Danio rerio: one gene and its partners. The protein of the gene in region 5 binds, or shares a complex with, the protein of the main gene of each other region. Links are inferred from orthologs where the notes say so. Each region holds a gene or a part of one and is shown on either strand. Other genes may lie near its edges. The genes, in order: tctn1, tmem216, ahi1, cc2d2a, tmem17 and tmem107l.

Region 1 (3,988 bases), on a different chromosome or scaffold from region 5:
TATGCAAAAGAAATATACATTTTTAGTAATCTGGGAAAAGCACATTCGATTAACTGTATGCTGTTACAAAATCGGCAAGTTTAAGTTTAAGTGATATACAATATAAAGTGGGTCTCAGAGTGTACAAGCAGCACTGCATTAAATTACATTTTCCCCGTCATGTCTTTAAAATATGGACGTTTATTTTACCCCAGTAAATTCAATGTAGTTTCTCCACTACCCTGCTGATCCTGACAGTTCATGCATATAAAAGTGCTTTTTGTCTTGTTTTACAGTTGAAAAATGAAATAAACGATGAAGTCTATTTAACTGGTTATATTTTAATTACAACATCAATGCTGTAAAAAAAAAAAAGTATAATATTGAAAAAAAAAATCACAATAACCGTTTACCAGAAGTGAATCATTATGGTAAGAAACACTAGTTCTGCATGTTTCCCATTAGCACTTCTTGTGTGTATAGCCTCTTGTTGTTGAATCACCGAACACCGCCTCAATAGTAAGTTGCTTTGATCTAGAGCATCTGTAAATGTAAATTAAATTTTTAACAAATCTTGATTTATTGACTTTTTGAACTTAAAATGTTGGTATTGTAAAGTTAGTATAAACATGTCTGAAAATAGACTTGTTCTAAATGAAAAATATTTTTTCATTATTATTATTTAAAATAAAAATGCTTTTTAGCCATTTTTTTCGTGTGTGTGTTTGTTCGTTTGTTTTATATATATAATATATTTTCTTATGTCAGCTATTCGCAAGAACATATAATTGAGTTTTGGGTAGTTTGACTCAAAAATAAAATGCTAAATAAAGTAATATTTGTTTAAAGCATAATTATAATAAAAACAACCAAAAAGCCCTGACAACATTCGCTAAATTATAATGTAAAAATAAAATATGAAAATAAATGCAAACTATTAATGAAAACCAAAATAAATCACTGATTGGAGATTTGTGCATTTATTGTTATACATATTTAATATTTTAATTATTATTTAAAAATATATTAGTAATTCATTTATGCAATTACTGGATGTTTTTTTATATAGCAGTCTTTTGTGTAGCAGTTTTATAATAATAATAATAATAATAATAATAATAATTATTATTATTATTATTATTAAAACATATTTGCCACAATAAAAATGGTTGAATGTCCTGCACCTTCCCACAATGCATTTCACTTCCTGGATACCGCTGAAAGCGCGCTGTAACCAAGCATGGCGGTGTTCTGTTATCTTGTTATTCTGATATATTTACAAACCTCGCTCTACACCGAAGACACGAACACAACACAAAATATAAATATAACACTCGAAGACTTAAACCACACGTCAAATTATCGAGATGAAATGCTTAACATCACGGAGCTGGGAGTCAGTCCTACTGCAGCAGATTTACCCGCTCCGACTGACAGGACTCCCGAATACGTGACCGGATTACCGGATCTTAACGAGTCCACGAAGAGCCCGATCCCTGATTCCCCGCGAGCCACCGCAGCGCCAGCGCCTATTCCCGTGTCCGGTGTCCCGCCGGTCACCGTCACTGAAGGTAAGAGTGCGGAAAAACTGATCCGAGTTGTCAAAACACTGAATGTCAATATCAATAGGGTAAACAACAGCATAGTAATAACATAAGAATTGCAACAATTATTTTTATTACAAGTTTAAATACGCAAATGAGGCATTAGATGTCAGCCCTGATTGATTCTGTATTCAGTCTGTTTACTGTATAGGTAGGTAGGTTACTTTATTTATACCCAAAGGTAGATTTGATTTGCAGTCAAGAGTCCTCATCTCACAGCAGTGCCACACAAAGCAACTCACACAGCAACAACAACAAATGCACATTAAAACATAAAACATAAACATAAAGAATAAATAAATAATCACTTTAAGTGCCCCCCCCCCCCCCCCTCCCCCAAGTAAATATTTAAAATGATCTAAAATATACAGGTCACTGAAACATCTCTGCTTAAGTCTTATTTAAATGTCTAATGGCTGCTGGTATGAAACTATTTTTGTAACGTTTCCTTTTACAGCTTAATACTACAAACCTACAACCGGAGGGAAGGAGCTGAAACTCTGAATGTAGGGGATGAAATAGAGGTAAAGTTGGTTTTATATTTGCACATTCGTTCATTTAAAAGTCCTTACATTGTTTACCATGTTACTTTCAATATTCGACCGGAATTAGCATGCAAGTGTGGCTTGAAAACAACATTTACACTGTTTATTTGACTGTGAACAATGTTGTACTTTGATAGTCACTGGCTGCTAATATGAGTTTGCTATTTAGAGTTTGCAAATAATAATTTTATGAAATTATATTATTAAGGGGAAAGTCTGAATGTGCGAATATAAAACCAACTTTACCTCTATGGGGATGAGCAGTGTCATTTAAAATTGAATTTGTAATTCTCTTTAGCTGCCTAGTGTACACAGCTTCTAGATTGGCTAGTGACACCCCGGTCAGCTTACTGGACCACTTAAATATCTGATTTAGTGAGTTTTTATTCTTGACAGAAAGATTCCCAAACCATGACACCAAAGCAAAGGATAAAACGGATTCAAGAAAAGCGTGATAAAATAGAGTCATCATCTGTTTATCAATATGGAAATAATTTAACTTTCTCAAGCAAAATAGTTGCTGGTGCCCCTTTTTACACACTGCTGCACAATTCTTATCAAAGGAAAGTTTAGAGTCAATAATTGTGCCAAGGTATTTATATGATTGCACACTTTCCACAGTCTGATTTTTAATGGAAGTGCTCACCTGTGAGTGAGCAGCCTTCCTAAAATTCACGATCAAATCTTTTGTCTTTAAAACATTTAACTGAAGATATGACTCCTCACACCATCTGACAAAGTCAGTGAGTACCGGACCATGACCTGTATCATCATCATGGAGTTGACTGACAATGACAGTGTCCTCTGCATACTTGACAGGGCTCAACAATAAGGACTGCCCGGTGGCCCAGGGCCAGCGTGAGAGACACTTGGGACAGTAGACAGGATCATTACTGGCCCGATTGGGACAGTGCTGCCTTGTCACTAACATTTCATTTGTCTACGACTATTTGTCAATTGCGTGCATTTAAGTTTGTGCTTTTAAGTCTTTAAACACTACCTTCTCTGTGATGTCGTAAACACCATATTGCTTTCCGGTTCCTCTTATCTGATTAGATGTTTTGAGCATGCAATTTTTTTCAATAACCAGGGGCCTCATGTACGAAGACTTGCGTGGAAATCATACTAAAACATAGCGTACGCACAAAGCTGTAAATGTGCGTACGCAGAAAAAAATTCAGGGGCCTCATGTATCAACGCTGCGTACGCACAAAAACATTGCGTACGCAAGGTTTCACGCTCAGAATCGCTCACGTTTGGATTTACTAACAATGAACTGAACGTGGGAATGTGCGCAGGTTCACGGCAGCTTTTTGGCAGGCGTACGCACATTTTTTGTGCGTGTCTGTTTTATTTCCATTGGCGACTCCTAGAGGCAGTTGTGTTAAATTCTTCTCTACAAAGTGTCTGATCCTTGCAATGGCAGCTGTATGAGACGGGTTCATCTAGTAGGTATGTAAGATTTCCATACCATACAGTTGACCAGCTAAACATTAAAGCACAATTTGCAGCAGTCGCCTGTTTTCCCAATGTAATCTGCGCGATCTACTGCACGCACATTGCTATAAAGACACTATCTGAAGATGAATTTGCAAGCGTGAATCAGAAACATTTCCATTCAATAAATGTGCAAATAAAATATGATGCACAAACTTATTAATGATTCCTACTAGTCTTTCTCGTGATAAATAGTAGGCAAAATATGATATGTAGCGGGGGGGAAAAAAGAAGATAGAGTTCATCAGACGCTGGATTCGAGCCGAGTTCATGCTCGAACGTGTCAAAACATGATCACATGCGTCTTACGAGCGCGCCACTGAGACTGTTCAGAGTGCTGCAACAGTTTACAGATATAAACCA
Region 2 (2,396 bases), on a different chromosome or scaffold from region 5:
TTTTTAAAGTTCTGTTTAGCACATGCAGTTTTTTAAATTCATTATAAATATCCATTATGTTCAAATAATCCATTAGCAAACCAAATATGTGTGTATATGTGTTCGTATAAGTTCTAAATCCAAAAAGTTAAGGTAACTCAAACTGTTTGAGGAAACCGATTGCAACAAACCATTTAAGTTAAAAGAAAATCCTAATGAGTACTGTGAACATAATCCATTTTAGTAAATGAAGCAATTTGAGCACAGTAAAACCCATTAAATGAAGAGAACTCAAACCAACTGACTACTGTTAAACCCAATAAGTTAAGGCAACTTAAACCATTTGAGGAAACCGATTACAAAAAAACTAGTAATCTATATGAGTACTGTGAACCTACTCCATTTAAGTTGAAGTAATAAGGTATTTTAATAACTCATTACCTTCAACACTGAGATCAAAACTCTTTTCAAGTCAGTAGAATTAAATTAGCTATACTCATTTCATTTGATAAAGTTGATTGTTGGGTTTTACAGTGTAGAATTAAGCACTCATTTATAACACTCTGTATTTGAATTACAATTTTATATCCTGTCTAATGTTTAATATCACTTGAAATACAATTTTTAAATCTTAGACTGAACTGGATTTTAATACGCATTCTCTGTTCAGCTCTTAATAGAGTTTAACCCTGCTGTGTTCACAAGTGCATGATTGTAGAAAAAGAATTATAATAGATTTCCCAGAGATGGGTTGCGGCTGGAAGGGTATCCGCTGTGTAAAAACTTTCTGGATAAGTTGGCGGTTCATTCCGCTTGGACTAAGCCGGCAAGAAAATGAATGAATGAATGAATTATAATAGAGATAACTGCCCTCTTTGTTGTGTACTGTTGTAATTGATGAAAGTGCATTGCCCCATGTTGCAAATGTAGTGATAGTGTGTAAAATCTGTCTTTCAGGCTGGAAGGGGAACCTGTGTCAGCGTTCTTTGGCTCTGTTTGTGAGTGTTGCTATTCTGGTGCCATGTGCAGTGTTGAGTGTTTACTACCTGCTGCTTCAGACCTTCGTTTTACGCCTTGAGTTTGTCCTCAATGCTGTGCTCCTCTGCTTTTATGGCTTCGAGCTGGTTCTGGGAGTGATGACAATCTCAATTTTTTCCAGGTAGCTGTTGTTTTTTTGTGCATATTTATTCCATAGTTTCAGCATTAGGAGACACACACATTATAATGATATCTATGGAATGAATATACCGAGAGTCGGCAGTATTTTTTTAATGTTTTAAAATAAGCTTATCCTGATCACCAAGGCTGCGCTTATTTAATCAAAAATACAAAAGTAAATATAGCAAAGTAATATAGCAATTCCAGTACATTCCAGTATTTTTTGGGGGGGCCCCATGAGGAAAATGGCTCATAAATTACTTGGAATTAAGTATTTAGAAAATGTTAAATGGATATAGTTTCCTGGGAGAGTTGGGATTTGCGTGCGTGCGTGCGTGCGTGCGTGCATGCGTGCGTGCGTGTGTGTGTGTATGTGTGTGTGTTTGTGTGTTTGTGTGTGTGTGTGTGTGTGTGTGTGTGTGTGTGTGTGTGTGTGTGTGTGTGTGTGTGTGAGAGAGAGAAAACTTATTTAGAAACTTAATAGAACATATTTGTGGATATTCAGTAACCGACTTGCTGTGTAAAATAAACAATATTAAAATGCAGATTTTTCTTTCAGGGCCAACATCTATTAAATCCATCTTCTGAAAACATGAACACTCAATAACAAGGATAAGCAGCAGCCTTTCGAATAGAGAACTGTCAAGAATTACAATTAAACATAAAGCTGACAAGTACCTTTATTATGTAGATATTGTATACAGTGTAAATGTATTTATGTAAATAGAAATATAGCCATTATTAAATAGTAAATTGAAACAGATTTGTCATTCATTTGTTACACCACACAAACACACACACACACAATCAAAAATTTGGGATACAATTATTGAATGTTTTTAAAGGAGACTCATATTAACAAAGGCTACTTTAGTTAATCAGAAGTACTGTAGTACTTATTATTAATAGTAATTAATATTATTAACATTTTAAAACATCTGTTTATATAATTACTTTCAAGAAGATCTCTTTGTCATTGTTGAGCAACAATTGTACTCATTATATATTTTTTGGAAACAGTGACATTATTTTGGTTTTAAAAAGCCATTAATCTGAATATTGGGAAAAGATACAGTATACCATGCACAGAATCTTAAAGCTTTGACCCAAGCTTGGCATACATCCGAATTTATTTGAAGAAGAAATCCCTTTTGTTGGAGACTTAGCTTTGTACCTTTGCAAAGCTTACATGAATATACATAACAAGCTACAACAAAATTAAAGCATTACATAGCCGCCATATGGCCTAAAATGGCTCA
Region 3 (3,500 bases), on a different chromosome or scaffold from region 5:
GAAGAAAGTACCACAAACGGTGGAAGTCTTTCAATGGTGGTCAAAGTACCCAAGGAACAAATACACCTCAACTCTCTATGTCACCGTGAAAGGCCTGAAACCACCAGAACATGTAGGTATACATTGTTGTGCTGGATCATCTACTAAATATTAGTATTCAGAATCCATAAGTTAATGCCTAGTCATTTAGCTTCTTTTAAATTTTTGTTGCCATAGAAACATTCTGACAGTTAGAATTAGTTATTTGCCTCATTTAAAAAGAATACCCTACAAGAAGACACTTAAGCAGGTAGCACACCAGAAGCGCCGCTTGGCGCCACGACAGGGTGGCACATGACAGATTAAAGTATCGCACACCAGACGCGCACATTCAAATGATATTTAACATGAAACTAATCAGATGGCGCTCTGTGGTGCGGCTGAAAAATGAACTGCGTCCTGAGTCGTGGGCGGGCGCCGCCGACAGCTGCCGACTTGCGGCGCCGGTGTGTGTATCCTGATAGAAATCTATGTTTAGAATTCTAAAATGCATGGCGCTGCACGGCGCGCCGCCGAGCGGTGCTTCTGGTGTGCGACCTGCGACCTTGCGGGAGTATCCCTCAAATGCATAGACACTCCCAGATGCCCGCAAATGAATAATAATCTCCCGGAAATCGCACGTCTCCTGCCCGGTCTTTAAATACGTTGCACACCCCTCACTCCACTGCATCCCTCCTAGCTCTTCAGGTACGTCATGCGCAACTCACCCCCACCGCTCTTCAGGTACGTCGCATGCAACTCACCCCCACCACTCTTCAAGTATGTCGCGTTGCAACTCTCTATTCGGGTACGTCGCGCGCGCAACTCTCACCGCTCTTCAGGTACATCTCGCGCGCACAAGCCCCCCTACTCAGATACTTTGCTCACTCACTACCTCCCCCCAAATTAACTCTGTACCCCCGTGAATGGACTTTTTCTAACTAGGGATGTCTGACAAAACATTAAGTATGTTTACAAGGACACCAATACTTTTGTTTTAATACGATGAAGGCAATACTCTGATTAAGAGTCTACCATGTAAACAGAGATTTTTGATAACCTTAATCCGACTGAAGTCATAATTGTAGTAAACACAAATCGAATTAAGTCATGTGCAGTATTCCTCTATTTCAGTCGCATTATTTACAGACGTGTAAACATCTTAATCAAAGTACTACCACCATGTAGGACTTTTAGCTGCATTTTAGGCCAGGATACGCCATAAGCGCATGGCTGTTTGATGTAGATGATGATCTAGTAGATCTTACAGGATCTACAAAGTAAATATGCAAAAAAAACAAAACTGTAGTATATATTAGTAGAACATTAGCAAAGAAAGGACTAGACTATTTAAAAATAGTTGCTCAGTGAAGTTGAATCTGATCTGGTTTGTTTCAAAGGTTGACCCCGGTATCCGCTCCATGATGGCTCTGCAGCAGGAGCGCGGCAGCACCTCCTACAGTGAGCTCAATTCTGAGATGACCAATAAAACCAGCACTCAGATACAGGAGAGCAAAGCAGAAACCATGAAGTGGAGCCGTATGCCCGGACAGGTTTTAGTTATTTGCTTTATCAGTGTAAATCGGGGTCAGTTATCTTTTTAATTGGCCTAATAATTTTTGACATTGTTTGTTTAAGGTGTGCCGGATCCCAAATAAGCCAATGCACTCTTTCCGTGGAGGTCAGATGGGCTGTTTTACTCTCTGTTTCTCACATGATGGACGTGCGCTAGCAGCTGCGTGTGCAGATAGAGATGCTTTTCCTATCATAAGTGAGTATAATGTGACTACATGTTGTCTTTTCTCTGTCTTGCATTTTTTAATACTTTATACTTAAATGTTTGTCATAATAACATTTAATATCTGATTAGTTAAAGGGATAGTTCACCCAAAAATTTCAGAGATGCTCTTCTGGAGACATCAGTTGTAACGAGTCTATCAGATCGTCTATCAGATCGGTCTGGCCATTCTCCTCTGGCGTCAACAAAGCATTTACACCCACAGAACTGCTGCTCACTGGATATTTTCTCTTTTTTGGACCATTTTCTGTAAACCCTAGCGATGGTTATGCGTTAAAATCCCAGTAGATCAGCAGTTTCTGATAGTAATGTGACGTTGTGCACCGAGGCTTTGAAGCATGTATCAAAAAAACGATGCATCTTGCAGTGTACTGGAGCTTGATTCGTTTTGCCATCATCACGTGATCAGTGACGTCCGAAGCTTCATTTTCGCCTATACCCACGTGACTGCTTCGAATTTTGATTCAAAGGTTTAAACACCCTAATGTGTTAGTAAAGTGTATAGCGAGAGATTTGGAGTTGATTACATACATTTCTACAGTTTTAAAGTACTGTACCGGTCCCACACACCAGTAATTAAACTATAATACAATAGTAATTTATAGTAAAAAATGTTTTGAACCACACTGAAGTGTATTAGCGTATTGTTTACAATGTTCTTTAAAGGGTCACGAAACACCAAAACACATTTTTTGAGCTGTTGACAGTCGTATATGTGTACCACACTGCTAAAAACACTATTAAGACACCTATATTTCACTAAAAAGTGTAAATTGGTTGTTTTTGCGTTATTTCAAGCAAATTCGTACTTCCTGTTTGAAACGAATTTTTGAAGCTGCGTCACGGTCATGACATAATAGCGTGTATTCCAGCGTGCAGACTGGGCGTCTGTGCCAGAGTGAGTCTTATTACGTCTTACAGTGTGATGCATTAATGCATGAGTAAGGCTTGGTTCAAACCAATCAGCGCGCTCTATTGTGCAACTTCATTAATATTCATTACTGTCACAGTGTAGACGGCAAAGACGCCACGTTGTGTTGGCAAAACAAGCGTGAAGTGTTGCTTTTATAGTTTGCTGCAGTTAAGTTTCGTTTTCATTTTCTCTCTGTGAGAGCGCAGACTCACATGTGGATTAACAGTGTACGCGACGCGCGACAACAACTTACGTGTCTAAGGAGGATTATTATTTACCTGAGAGCTGTTCTCATCTGCAAACGCTGAGATTGTAGTCTTCTCTAAATAAAGACGCGGCTCTAGTTGCTGGTGATTGTCCTGTCTCTACAGATTTGGTAAGTGAGCGACCAGTGCTCTTTGTTTATTCAGTTCGTATTTTATTCGTATCAAACAAACTATTGCACCGAGTGCAATAGTTAGCACTAACAGTTACAACCAAACTATAACCTCGTGTTGGATTTTGTGACCGGAATAACACACACGGCTTTCTGACACTACCTGCCGAGTGCATCTAAGTTTCCGGGAAATGCTGAGTTTTTTTTTCTCTCATTCGCCGTGCAGTATCAAACATTGCATGAAAAATACACGCTTAGAGCTGTTCCTCGAATCAAATATCTCGTTTGTCGGGAGGGACATTAATGAATTCCCTGAATGAAAGAGCCAAACTGCAGTTAAAGTCCACCATTTAATAATTTGGCAAATAATTCGACTACAGATGTCCATGTAAACA
Region 4 (4,042 bases), on a different chromosome or scaffold from region 5:
CAAGAGGGGAAATGCACGTTTTAAAGATTACACTATGTCCATTTAAAGGAACAGTTCACCCGAAAATGAACATTTCCTCTTCCTTTACACACAGTCAAGACATTACAAACTTTTATGAGTTTCTTTCTTCTGTTGTACACAAAAGAAGATATTCAAAAGAATGATGGGGGAATAGCAGCCAATGACATCCATAGTAGAAATAAAACATATACAATAGAGGTTAATGGCTGTTGATTCTTCAGTATATCAACAGAAGAAACTTATACAGGTTTCAAACAAGTAAAGGAAGAGAAAATGTCATTTTTTTGTGTTAACTGTACCTTCAAAATAGTTTTTTTTATTTACTTTTTCTACTGAAACAATGACATTAGTACATTTTAACTATGACATACAGAAGACAGCACTAGTCATTGAGAGTAACAACAATTTACACTGCATGAAATCTTGTCAGGCATGTTCAGAAAATGACTCACTTTATGGCATATTAAATAACTATATAAGAATACAGTTCGACCCCAAACTTAAACCTTTAACTATACTTTGCCACTATCCTTTAGAACCACTAAGTTAGGTTCAACCCATTTGTCTGGTTTATTATAGTTTAAAAGTGTTTACTTCAACTTTACAACTTGACACCTAAACGTTATTGTCAATAACTGTGCATTATAGACTCACCGGACACTTTATTAGGTACACCTGTCCAACTGCTCGTTAATGCAAATTTCTAATTAGCCAATCACAAGGCAGCAACTCAATGCATTTAGGCACGTAGACATGGTCAAGACGATCTGCTGCAGTTCAAAGTGAGCATCAGAATGAGGAAGAAAGGGGATTAAAGTGACTGAACGAGGCATGGTTTTGGTGCCAGATGGTCTGATCTGAGTATTTCAGAAACTGCTCATATACTGGGATTTTCACGCACAACCATCTCTAGGGTTTACAGAAAACGGTCCGACAAAGAGGAAATATCCAGTGAGCGGCAGTTCTGTGGGCGCAAATGCCTTGTTGATGCCAGAGGTCAGAGGAGAATGGCCAGACTGGTTCCAGCTGATAGAAAGGCAGCAGTAACTCAAATAAGCACTCATTACAACCGAGCTCTGCAGAAGAGCATCTCTGAACACACAAAATGTCCAACCTTGAGGCGGATGGGCTACAGCAGCAGAAGACCACACCGGGTGCCGCTCCTGTCAGCTAAGAACAGGAAACTGAGGCTACAATTCACACAGACTCACCAAACTGGACAATAGAAGATTGGAGAAACGTTGCCTGCTCTGATGAGTCTCCATTTCTGCTGACACATTTGGATGCATAGAGATAAAGTTGGTTTTATATTCTCACATTCATTAATTAAACAGTCTCTATATTGTTTACCATGTTTCTTTGAATATTCAATCGGAAGTAGCATGCAAGTATACTTCTAAACAACATTAACACTATCTAATTCACTGTGAACAATGTTGTACTTTGAAAGTCATTGGCTGCCAATATGATTTCCCTATTCAGAATTTGCAAAGAATACTTTTTTGAAATTATATTATTAAGGAGAATGTCTGAATATAAAACCATCTTTACCTCTATTTTGGATGGTCCGGTCAGAATTTGGCATCAACAACATGAAAGCATGGATCCATCCTGCCTTGTATCAACAGTTCAGGCTGGTAGTGGTGGTGTAATGGTGTGGAGGAGATTTTCTTGGCACACTTTGGGCCCATTAGTACCAATTGAGCATCATGTCAACGCCACAGCCGACCTGAGTATAGTTGCTGAACATGTCCATCCCTTTATGAGCACAGTGTCTCCATCTTCTGGATAACACACCATGTCATAAAGCGTGAATCATCTCAGACTGGTGTCTTGAACATGACAATGAGTTCACTTTACTCAAATGGCCTCCACAGTCACCAGAACTCAATCCAATAGAGCACCTTTGGGATGTGGTGGAACGGCAGATTGGCATCATGGATGTGCAGCCGACAAATCTGCAGCAACTGCGTGATGCTATCATGTCAACATGGAGCAAAATCTCTGAGGAATATTTGCAGTGCCACGAATATTTGTTGAATCTCTGCCACGAAGGATTAAAGCAGTTCTGAAGGCAACAGGGGTCCAACCCGATACTAGTAAGGTGTACCTAATGAAGTGGCCGGTGAGTGTAAGTATATTTAACATAGAAATACCGCACTCTGTTGTTACCTGTTTATCATCCCTGACTTTTCCTAAAGACTCCTGCAGTTCTCTCCTCTTCTTCTTTATTTTCTCTCGTACATCACTGAGGACAACAGGACAACTTAAACTTAGAAACAGCCGTAAAACAGAATTGCTCTAAGCTTATACTCAAGTTAACGTATAGTAAAAAATAAAAACAGATTAATGTTAACAGTTACCCTGGCGATGACATTGTGCTCTAACGTTATGCATTAAACGTTACTGACGTCAGAAATCTTCCCAATACATCTCAGATCTTCAGTGTGGACCTCACAGCAGCTCCTGGATGACACGGTTCGTTAATAAAACATTCATAATGGAGGGATAAACTGCATAGCATTAGTTGAGTAAAGTTAAAGTTAGCAACAGCCTTTTATAAAGTAACGTTAGCCGAAATCTCTTATTAACAGCAGACTGTAGTCGCTCGAGGCAGGAAATAAACATTATTCTGCTCAAAAGACAAAAGAGAAACTTTCCAGATTATAGAATTATTCCACTGAAATAGTTAGTAAATGTAATAAATCTGTATTTAGCTTTACCGTCGTGCGCCGTCTCGCTGCCTGGTAACGGGTGTAAATAATCTACAACCGAACATACGGTTTGCGTCCGGATCATCCCTTTCACGTCAGCGTTTGTTCTCATTGGCCCACAGGCCCGTCAATCACCCAAATCTGGATACGTCACGCGGCAGCTCGAGCTCAATCCTGCATGAATATAAAAAAATATTAATATTAATTGTTCATTTTGTGGGCAGCACCCTGAGTCCCTGGTTCACTTATTTTGGCAATGCAATTACTCTAGGTTGCTTTGGAAAGACTTCTTACTTTTTATAATTGAGAATGTTGATGAGGAATTTTCCTTGCTGTGGGAGAATGTTTTGTTTGGTTTTGTTGATTATGGAACGGGGGCTTTACATAAAAAGAAAACATATTTTCTTAATCTTCTTGTCTTGTTAACAAAATTTTATATCCATAAATGTAAATTTTCAAACCAAAAACCTTTTTTTAATATTTTGCTTACTGAAATGCAGTATTACTTTGAAACAGTGTCTAACTCTTTCTCAAAAAAGGCTTTAAAAATAACTGAAATTTGTAAATTATATAATATTTTTCTTTAACGTGTAATGTATTTACCCCTCCTGTTTTTTTTTTTTTGTTTGTTTGTTTATTTTTTTGTTATCTGTAGTTATTTCTTTTTCCAAAAATGTTGTTCTTTTTGTCTCTTCAATTTCTTGTTAACATCCTGTGATTGTATATTCTCATTTTCGTATATTAAAAAAAAAAAAAAAAAAAAAAAAAAAGCATGAGACGCGGGCAAATTCTCCATAGAATTTATCCTGCTAAACATGTTTTGGAAAGAATGAAGCTTAATCTTTCATATATGTGTGCATTTTGTGTTCAAGAAAAAGAAACAATTTTGCATCTTTTTTTATCCATAAAAAATTACAAAGATAGAATATACTTAAAATACTGTGTCATACTCTTTTACTCACATAGCCTACTAAAACCCTCATAAGAACTATAAAACATGAAGTCATTGGTTGTTACAAACAAATTGGACAAAAAAACATTTGCTGTATTTTTAGAAACACTGAGCAGAAAAACAACGGAGATCTGCAGTAAAGCTGTTGAGTTTTTATTTATTTATCTTATTTTTATTTTTTTCTAAAGATTGCAAAATGACCTGATGTGGTGAGTATATATTTCCATGTTCTGTGATGTGTGTTATTTGATCCTCTTCAGATGGTTTTAATCATAATTCAGAAAAGGGTGTTTTCTGCCTTCTGAGCTTTGGCTTTCATGTATTTTTTCTCAACTCCAAAAACACTCCATTATAC
Region 5 (3,952 bases):
TATAATATTAAATTAAACGTGTAATATTTATTTTTCCATTGAAGATGAGGCAGAAGCAGGTTCAAAAAATGAGGGAGACCACCGAGCATGAGCTAAATCACACAGGTACAGGTAAGACTGTTAATCTGGAAGGGATATGCTAGAGTGTCATACAAAGATAGATGGACATTTAAATAATTTAAATATTGTAAATGCTTTGTTATTCATTCTAAGATGAAACTCCCTCCGAGTCAACTCAGCAAAGTAAAGGTGATGGAGACAGAAAATGTTCAGATTGTCCATCCAACAGTAAATAGTTTCTGTTATTATCCGCAATGTGTAAATGTGAATCACATACATGTAAGATGAGCTTATCAAGATCTTTCAGGACAAAAAAAGTTTTGTTTTTAAAGGTACAGGTAAATATAAAAATGTAAAATGGTAAATAGTTCTGAAATTATTACAGAGTGTACTGTTTTTTCTTTTAATTGTACTTTTACAACAACTAGAAAATTTGTATAAGCAAGAACCCACCCACTTAGTGCCCCTGCCCCTCAAAATGTCTGTGCACGGCCCTGAATTGGTGGTTCATTCTGCTGTGGTGACCCCGGATTAATAAAGGGACTAAACCGAAAAGAAAATGAATGAATGAACCTTGGGTTGCAAAAAAAATATATCTTTTCATATTGTTTCTCAAAAGTGAAGAACCCAAAAAGAACCTTCTTTAAAATAAAGCTCTAAATTCTAATAGAAACCCTGGATCTCAAGACTGAATAAACTGAACATTGAGTAGTGGGCAGGGTTTTATTTTAGTTCTCATACTTGACGTCATCAGAGAAGGACCCCCACACCAGAGCAGAATCAAATAGGAGGTTTTTGATTAAAGATTACCTACAATAAAAATGATCAGCGACTTTACTTAATTGTTCACCTTAACACTACCAATGTCCTCTAGCAAAATAAACATTGTACATTTTTTTACTTCATGCTGACTTAAAGTGATAGTTTAAGCCAGGAATATTAATATTATTCTTTATACACATTGCAGGATAAAACTCAGCATAATGTATCTTATTTCGCCATCATACAAAGCAAGCAAACCTGTTAAGTGCAGCTGAGCAGTGTGTGTGAGTGAGAGTGAAAAACATCCCCCGGTGGTCACAGCTGGACCATCACAACCGCTCAAGAAGATCCGCCTTCGTTGCTACCATAGACTGGTTGCTACGGACACACGTCTGCTTCTCCCAACATGGACCTGCCTGAACCCATCAGGCGACGGCTTGGAGATTTCTCCAGAACCGTGTTTGTGGACCAAAGCCGTACACAACCCTCTTTCGAAGAGCACGCAAATTTTCTAGACCAAAGTAAGTGTGTTTGAGCTTCCATTTGATCTGCTACGTGAACGTTAGCTGTAGGGCTAATTCATCTGGTTAGCCGAGTTGTACGATTTCATGTAGCTTTTGCTAGTAAACATATTTTTTTCTGACGTCATATGCAGATATAATAATGCTTTATGGTAGCATTAATCTTAAAAGGAAGTTGATAACATTTGGCGTTATTCCTGTCTGGGACCTACGAAACTACGTTGCGTTACCAAAAAGCATAATAAATGGTTCGTTTGAATCGGATCTTCTTAATGGACCTTTTCATAAAACGTGATTAGTCAAAAAAACTACTTAAAGTAAGGCAACTAGATGATTTAATAGGTTGACGGAATCGAAATATTTTGGATATCTTTAACCAAGTTTAGTTAGGTAAAACAGCCAAGTGAACAAAGTTACTCATTTAAAACGAACTGTTCAAAAGAACCGATTCGCCAAATGTTATTTTACTCCATCCTATACAGGCTCCGAACACTGATTTATGTATTATTATTATACATATTATATATCTGTGGTTCCGAATCAGGTTATTTAGGATGCCCAAGATTAGTAAAAATGAACTTTATTCAAAGCTAATTTGTCATTTTAATTTTATGCACTATTATTTCTCAGATAAGGATGTAGTATCGAGTCTCCCTCTTCAGATGTCACTCTACTTTAACATGTGGTTCTTTCCTTTCTGGTGGATCAGTGAGGTTGTGATGCTTGACCTAAAGGTGATTCTCGTCTTTGTCATTTTTAACATTTCAATATGATCTTATGGCTGTTTAATCATATTACTGTTGTTAGATATTACAGCTAATAATCATTGTGCTTTTTCTTCTAGTACTCAGCCCTTGCAGATTATTACAAGTTCATCCTGATCACAATTCTCATTGTAATGACCCTGATTGAGGCTATTAGGCTGTATTTGGGCAATGCTGGAAATCTGCAAGAAAAGGTCAATCTTAATTTAATGTAATATCATGTAATATCCTATAATTGGTCCCATTATGCATCTGTTGTTTTTCAGTAGGTTCCAGAATTGGCTGGATTTTGGCTTCTGACTTTTCTACTTCAGTTTCCTCTGATTTTGTTCCAGCTCTTCAATGAGGCTGTTCTTGTTCAACCACTAGAGAGAGGAGTTCATATAATACTGGCCTTATTTATCTTTGCTGAGGTATCTATCTGTCTATCTTACAACTATTTTAAGTGACTATGTAGAATTTTTAACTCCTCATTGTTCAGAATTTGAAGGGATTTCAGTTGTGTACCAACAGAACAGTGTTTTATAAAACACTCAAGACACTTTGACAAAAAGCCATTATTTTGTGCAAAACACAGTGATTAGAGTTTAAGAACAGCAATGATATTGGTTGTAACATAAAGATTACAACTTTAATTTCCAAAGCCTACAACTGCTTTTGTCTCGATTGATTTTACTACATCTTCAGTACAGATTTTCACTCAGGAGGGAAGCACGAAAGCCATATTTTTATGCAGATTTGAATGAAACACTCCACTTCAGGAGGAACAGGCTCAACTTATAAGAGTTAAACAGAAAAGATTTGCCATTTTTTAATCCTTTTAGATGATCACTGGGTCTGGTGAAAACCCTTTTAGCTTCGCATAAATCATTAAATTAGATTAGACCATTAGCATCTTGCTCCAAAAATACAAATAATAACTGGAGATAATTTTTCTATTTAGAGCTTGACACTTTTCTAGTCACATTGTATACTAATGCTGTTCACACCAGACGTGGAAGGAGCGTCAAGCGCAAGTGATATGTTGATATGGCTAAGAACTATACTCTCATTTTGGTGTAATAATCAAGGGACTAGCTGCCATACCAAGGCTGCAGCAGGGACAATGTTAATATGTAGCACTGTTATCTAGATGGGAAATATTTTTTAGAATAAGAGTATAGTTCCTAGTACATAATGTAACTATAGAAGAGTGTGCGTGTATGTATGTATGTATGTATATATATATATATATATATATATATATATATATATATATATATATATATATGTGTATATATATATATATATATATATATATATATATATATATATATATATATATATATTTATATATAAATATAAATTATCTTGTGTAACTTATATAACTTTAAGTTTTTGTGCAAGAGGCTAATGGTCTAATCTGATTCAATGATTTATGCTAAGCTAAGCTAAAAGTGCTCACACCAGACCTGAAGATCAACAGAATTGAATAAAAAATGCTAAAACTCAACTGTTTAAACTTATTTTTTTTTAAATGTTGAGCGTTTCATTTAAGGCTATGATCTTAAACTTTTTTGATGAGGATGATCTGTTTAAATTTAATTTTGAATACATTGCCTGGTCTTTCTTTTTTGTCACTTCTCCGATTTCTTCTTTTAGCATTTAGACGCAGTACTTACAACCTGGGGTGCTTTTCCGAAAACAATTGTTAGCAAACCAAGGTCACAAGTTCCATCGTTACAAAGATAGTTTGTTGATTTGGCGGTTCCCAAATCCGTCGTTCCATTGAACATTCGCAAACTGCATCACAAACTTGTAAGCTTACAACTAAACCTCTAGGGCTGTAGTTAGATGCATTGCTCC
Region 6 (4,024 bases), on a different chromosome or scaffold from region 5:
CCGAGGTTCGAACCAGCGACCCAGCGACCTTCTTGCTGTGAGGCGACAGCACTACCTACTGCGCCACTGCCTCGCCCAAGCAAAAACTTGTTTTTCAGAAATAAAAATAGTTTTTGCTAACAAAAATTTAAAAATTCAAAGGAAAATTTATTTTTGAAAAATAAAAATTACATTTGCAAACAAAAAAAGAACTGAAAAAAAAAATATATAAATATTTGCAAAACATTTTTAGCCTTGACCTAACCCATCCAGTCAACTGCAATGCTCATTTTGATTTGACAAAGGGGTGGAGTCAAGGGAACTTGGGCGTTTACGGCAGGCCTTAGGTAAACCTCTAAGTTCCCTTGACTCAGTCCCCTTGTCAAATCAGGGCCACAAAGTGAAAGGCGCAGAAACGTGAAGTACAAAGTGAAAACAGCATCACAAACTCACAGTTGACTAAAATCTAATTAAAATGACAATTGCAACTGACCGGGCAGGTTTTGTAAAAGCAATGCTATAAAAATGTTTTGCAAATATATATAGTTTTTTTTTGATTATTGCAAATCTTTTTGTTTTGTTTTTTTACTGCTTGATGTTTATTTGCAGTTCCTTTTTTGTTTAAATTTCATTTTTATTTCTCAATTTTCCCCTTTGCAGTTCTTTATTTTTGTTAGCAAAATGTATTTTTTATTTTTTTCATTTACATTTATTTATTTTTTGCTCAATACTTTATTTGTTGTTTGCAAAGTTTTATTTTATTTTGCACGTACAGTTGAAGTCCGAATTATTAGCCCCCCTTTGAATTATTATTTTTCCAAAAGGGTTTTTTCTTCTGGAGAAAGTCTTATTTGTTTTATTTCGGTTAGGATAAAAGCATTTTTTTTTTTAAACACCATTTTAAGGTCAAAATTATTGCTCTTTAAGCTATATATTGTTTCGATAGTCTACAGAACAAACCATGGTTATACAATAACTTGCCTAATTACCCTATCCTGCCTAGTTAAACCAGTTAACCTAGTTAAGCCTTTAAATGTCACTTTAAGCTGTATAGAAGTGTCTTAAAAAATATCTAGTCAAATATTATTTACTGTCATTATGGCAAAGCTAAAATAAATCAGTTATTAGAAATAAGTTATTAAAACTATTATGTTCAGAAATGTGTTGAAAAAAATCTACTTTCCGTTAAAAGAAATTGGGGAAAAAATAAACAGGGGGGTAATAATTCAAAAGGGCTAATAATTCTGACTTCAACTGTATATATGGCCCTAGATTGACTTTATATACCAGGTAGGTCTTGACCACATTACAGCTCCATATAATTTTTTACGACCCATGACTTCAGGTAATTTACTGTCAAAAATCTGAACAAAACAGAAGACTTTGGATGAGATGTGTAAGAAACTAGTACTAGACACACATATGGGAGCTGTTTGCGTTAATCATAAGTTGAAGATTTGACTCCGATCCATGAAAATATAAGAAAATAATACACAATTTATATGCATCAACACCTACAGTATATATATAACCTATAGTGGTGATGTGCTACTGGTAAGGATACACAGAAGAGCTTGGTTGTTGTTGAACATAGAGATTCCACAGAGAAACCCAACCAACTCGATGGCTAACAGGCCAAGAGTCACGGATAATGCCACCACAAGCCTGTATTCCAAAAACAATGGTTAGGACAGCGTCATGAACAGGACTTACTATATCTGACTCCATAACATTATTCACATCTACATATAAATAATGTACAATTTACTATCAGTCAAACAATAATATGCTGTAAATGGGTCAAACAAGAAAAGCCATCAAAAGATTTTAAAGTATTTTGTTTCATAAATTAAAAGGTACATTTAATTAACAATTAAAATACATTCTGTATTGCGGAATGAAAAAAAAAAAGACTATTTTAGTTGAAATCTTGCAGGTTGTAATTTCTTTTCTTTTTTGGATTATTTTGCTTGAATGTAATTGTAATATCTTTCAATTTCTAAATATGTTTGATGACTAAAATATTATTTGAATAAATATATCTGTTTAATAAATCTGTTTTGTTTCAAAGGGGTGTACTCATTTGCTGAGCACTGTGCATATATCATGCACTTGATGCTATCGCATTCCTAGGTATACCCCAACTGCATTTTGTTGCCTTGTACATGTATAATGACAATAAAGTTGAATCAAAAAATACTATTCAGTCTCACTACATGACCGAAATAATTATATTATCATTTAGCCACTGTGAAGCAATACAGAACAGAGAAAGTGTGTTTCCCAACCGTGTGTCCTCTGCTGTGTACTCTTCATTAGTGTAGTCGAGTGGTAGACAGGCTCGGACACTGTACTCCTGTAGGTCATTCCACATTTAAACACACAGCTGGCTGCAGTGATGTTGTGTGATATAAAAATAACAATTACACACACAAGAACACTTCTTACCCGAGACCAGAAAATGATTATCACTATTACAAGGTGCGCGATGAGAGTGAGGAAACGGGCAGGCACCAGACTGCTGACCACCGACATTGAACACTAGACAGAGAAGAAAGACATAATAACTTAGATTGAACTGTGCAAGTGGATGACTAACAGTTAAAGGTTTAACGTGTTCATCTTCACAAAACGTGAGGTTGTATATCAAAATGGTATACGTACCAGCTTTGCGTTAGTTGTTAAAACCTGATTTTTCAAATGGTGAGCAGTAAAGTAGATATAGCACTGTATATAAGGCTACTATGCGTATAAGTTTATCAAGCTTGAGGACAGTTATCGCTCGATATAAGCTTCGGGTTGCTACGACAACACTCTTCTTCTATTTGGCGAATGGGTTATGGTCAAAACAGACCAACAAGTAGCTCAATGCTGTCACCTGCTGGAAGGAGTCGCTTTCTGACTGGTCCTCAACTTGGTTTTACAATGTCTCAAAATGTTCATTCATTCATTTTCCTTCGGCTGAGAGCAGGTACTAAAGGTGAAATAACTTGAAAATGGTGAACTGGAACATGGCAGCGCAGACAAGTAGTAAGACAATTGGAAAAAATTTATTTCAAAGACTTCATTATTGTGGTCAATAGGGAGCACTATCAAGGTGTTCGAGGTGTCTTAAACAAGCCTTTTATTCAGTCATTCATTTTCCTTCAGCTTAGTCTCTTTATTTATCAGTGGTCGACACAGCGGAATGAACTGCCAACTTATCCAGCATATGTTTTACACAGCGGATGCCCTTCCAGCTGCAACCCAGCACTGGGAAAATCCATACACACTCATTCAAACTCATATACTATGGCCAATTTAGTTTATTCAATTCACCTATAGCACATGTCCTTGGACTGTGGGGGAAACCGGAGTACCCGGAGGAAACCCAAGCAAACACAGGGAAAAAAGCATCTGCAGAAATGTCAGCCGGGACTCGAACCAGCAACCTTCTTGCTGTGAAGCGACAGTGCTAATCTCGAAATGAAATGCATTTAAACAAACTAAGTTGTTTTTTGTTTTACGGTCTCATTTTTACAGTGTATCTATAGCATAAAGTACTGAGTGGCATTAATTAACGATATGGAGTACTTACTATGGTTATGGGTTTTTGCATGTGATTATGCATAATTTATTGGTATTATAGTAAGTGCATAAAACGTGTGTAATAAGAGCCCTATAAGTTAAAAGGATAGCTCACCCAAATATAAAAACGTGTTTGCTGTTTATTCAAGTGGTTGTAAATCTTTGTGAGTTTCTTTCTTCTGTTAAGCGATAAAGGCAATACTTTAAAGAAAGTTGGAAACCTGTAACTTCCATAGCATTTGTTTTTCCTATATGGATGTCAATGGTTGCAGGTTTTCAGCATTCACAAATCAACAAATAAATGAATCATTAGTTTTTACTGTAGCCTACAGCCAGACGTCGTTGGTCTAGTAAATAATAAATAAATACTAACTCAGTGGTTTGCTATCAAGGGCATTTGCTGTTCTGGAAGGCAGTAAAATATTAACCTTAGAGTTAAGAAATTGAGAATAGACAGTTTTAGGAAGACTTTTTTTTT

The links.
Region 1: tmem17 (region 5) and tctn1 share a complex: the UniProt entries of both Homo sapiens proteins name them as parts of the tectonic-like complex. The link is inferred for Danio rerio from reciprocal best matches to the Homo sapiens genes TMEM17 and TCTN1.
Region 2: tmem17 (region 5) and tmem216 share a complex: the UniProt entries of both Homo sapiens proteins name them as parts of the tectonic-like complex. The link is inferred for Danio rerio from reciprocal best matches to the Homo sapiens genes TMEM17 and TMEM216.
Region 3: tmem17 (region 5) and ahi1 share a complex: the UniProt entries of both Homo sapiens proteins name them as parts of the tectonic-like complex. The link is inferred for Danio rerio from reciprocal best matches to the Homo sapiens genes TMEM17 and AHI1.
Region 4: tmem17 (region 5) and cc2d2a share a complex: the UniProt entries of both Homo sapiens proteins name them as parts of the tectonic-like complex. The link is inferred for Danio rerio from reciprocal best matches to the Homo sapiens genes TMEM17 and CC2D2A.
Region 6: tmem17 (region 5) and tmem107l share a complex: the UniProt entries of both Homo sapiens proteins name them as parts of the tectonic-like complex. The link is inferred for Danio rerio from reciprocal best matches to the Homo sapiens genes TMEM17 and TMEM107.

Annotation. Positions count from the first base shown.
Region 1 is NC_133185.1:8,987,231-8,991,218, reverse strand, and holds the start of tctn1 (tectonic-1), read left to right. Parts: upstream 1-1,188; 5' UTR 1,189-1,219; coding exon 1,220-1,550; intron 1,551-3,988. UniProt on the Homo sapiens protein: Component of the tectonic-like complex, a complex localized at the transition zone of primary cilia and acting as a barrier that prevents diffusion of transmembrane proteins between the cilia and plasma membranes.
Region 2 is NC_133189.1:29,306,907-29,309,302, reverse strand, and holds the end of tmem216 (transmembrane protein 216), read left to right. Parts: intron 1-936; coding exon 937-1,138; intron 1,139-1,696; coding exon 1,697-1,712; 3' UTR 1,713-1,896; downstream 1,897-2,396. UniProt on the Homo sapiens protein: Part of the tectonic-like complex which is required for tissue-specific ciliogenesis and may regulate ciliary membrane composition.
Region 3 is NC_133192.1:9,398,218-9,401,717, reverse strand, and holds part of ahi1 (jouberin), read left to right. Parts: coding exon 1-112; intron 113-1,418; coding exon 1,419-1,571; intron 1,572-1,656; coding exon 1,657-1,789; intron 1,790-3,500. UniProt on the Homo sapiens protein: Involved in vesicle trafficking and required for ciliogenesis, formation of primary non-motile cilium, and recruitment of RAB8A to the basal body of primary cilium.
Region 4 is NC_133198.1:2,297,536-2,301,577, reverse strand, and holds the start of cc2d2a (coiled-coil and C2 domain-containing protein 2A), read right to left. Parts: upstream 2,801-4,042; 5' UTR 2,745-2,800; exon of another isoform or gene 2,488-2,744; 5' UTR 2,399-2,487; coding exon 2,385-2,398; intron 2,270-2,384; coding exon 2,194-2,269; intron 1-2,193. UniProt on the Homo sapiens protein: Component of the tectonic-like complex, a complex localized at the transition zone of primary cilia and acting as a barrier that prevents diffusion of transmembrane proteins between the cilia and plasma membranes.
Region 5 is NC_133200.1:30,968,231-30,972,182, forward strand, and holds the start of tmem17 (transmembrane protein 17B), read left to right. Parts: upstream 1-1,152; 5' UTR 1,153-1,228; coding exon 1,229-1,343; intron 1,344-1,973; coding exon 1,974-2,077; intron 2,078-2,187; coding exon 2,188-2,301; intron 2,302-2,376; coding exon 2,377-2,520; intron 2,521-3,952. Other genes in the region: PKc_like domain-containing protein, read right to left, coding at 1,081-1,127. UniProt on the Homo sapiens protein: Transmembrane component of the tectonic-like complex, a complex localized at the transition zone of primary cilia and acting as a barrier that prevents diffusion of transmembrane proteins between the cilia and plasma membranes.
Region 6 is NC_133198.1:31,419,244-31,423,267, forward strand, and holds the start of tmem107l (transmembrane protein 107 like), read right to left. Parts: upstream 2,801-4,024; 5' UTR 2,644-2,800; intron 2,521-2,643; 5' UTR 2,515-2,520; coding exon 2,428-2,514; intron 2,336-2,427; coding exon 2,268-2,335; intron 1,645-2,267; coding exon 1,544-1,644; intron 1-1,543. UniProt on the Homo sapiens protein: Plays a role in cilia formation and embryonic patterning. Requires for normal Sonic hedgehog (Shh) signaling in the neural tube and acts in combination with GLI2 and GLI3 to pattern ventral and intermediate neuronal cell types.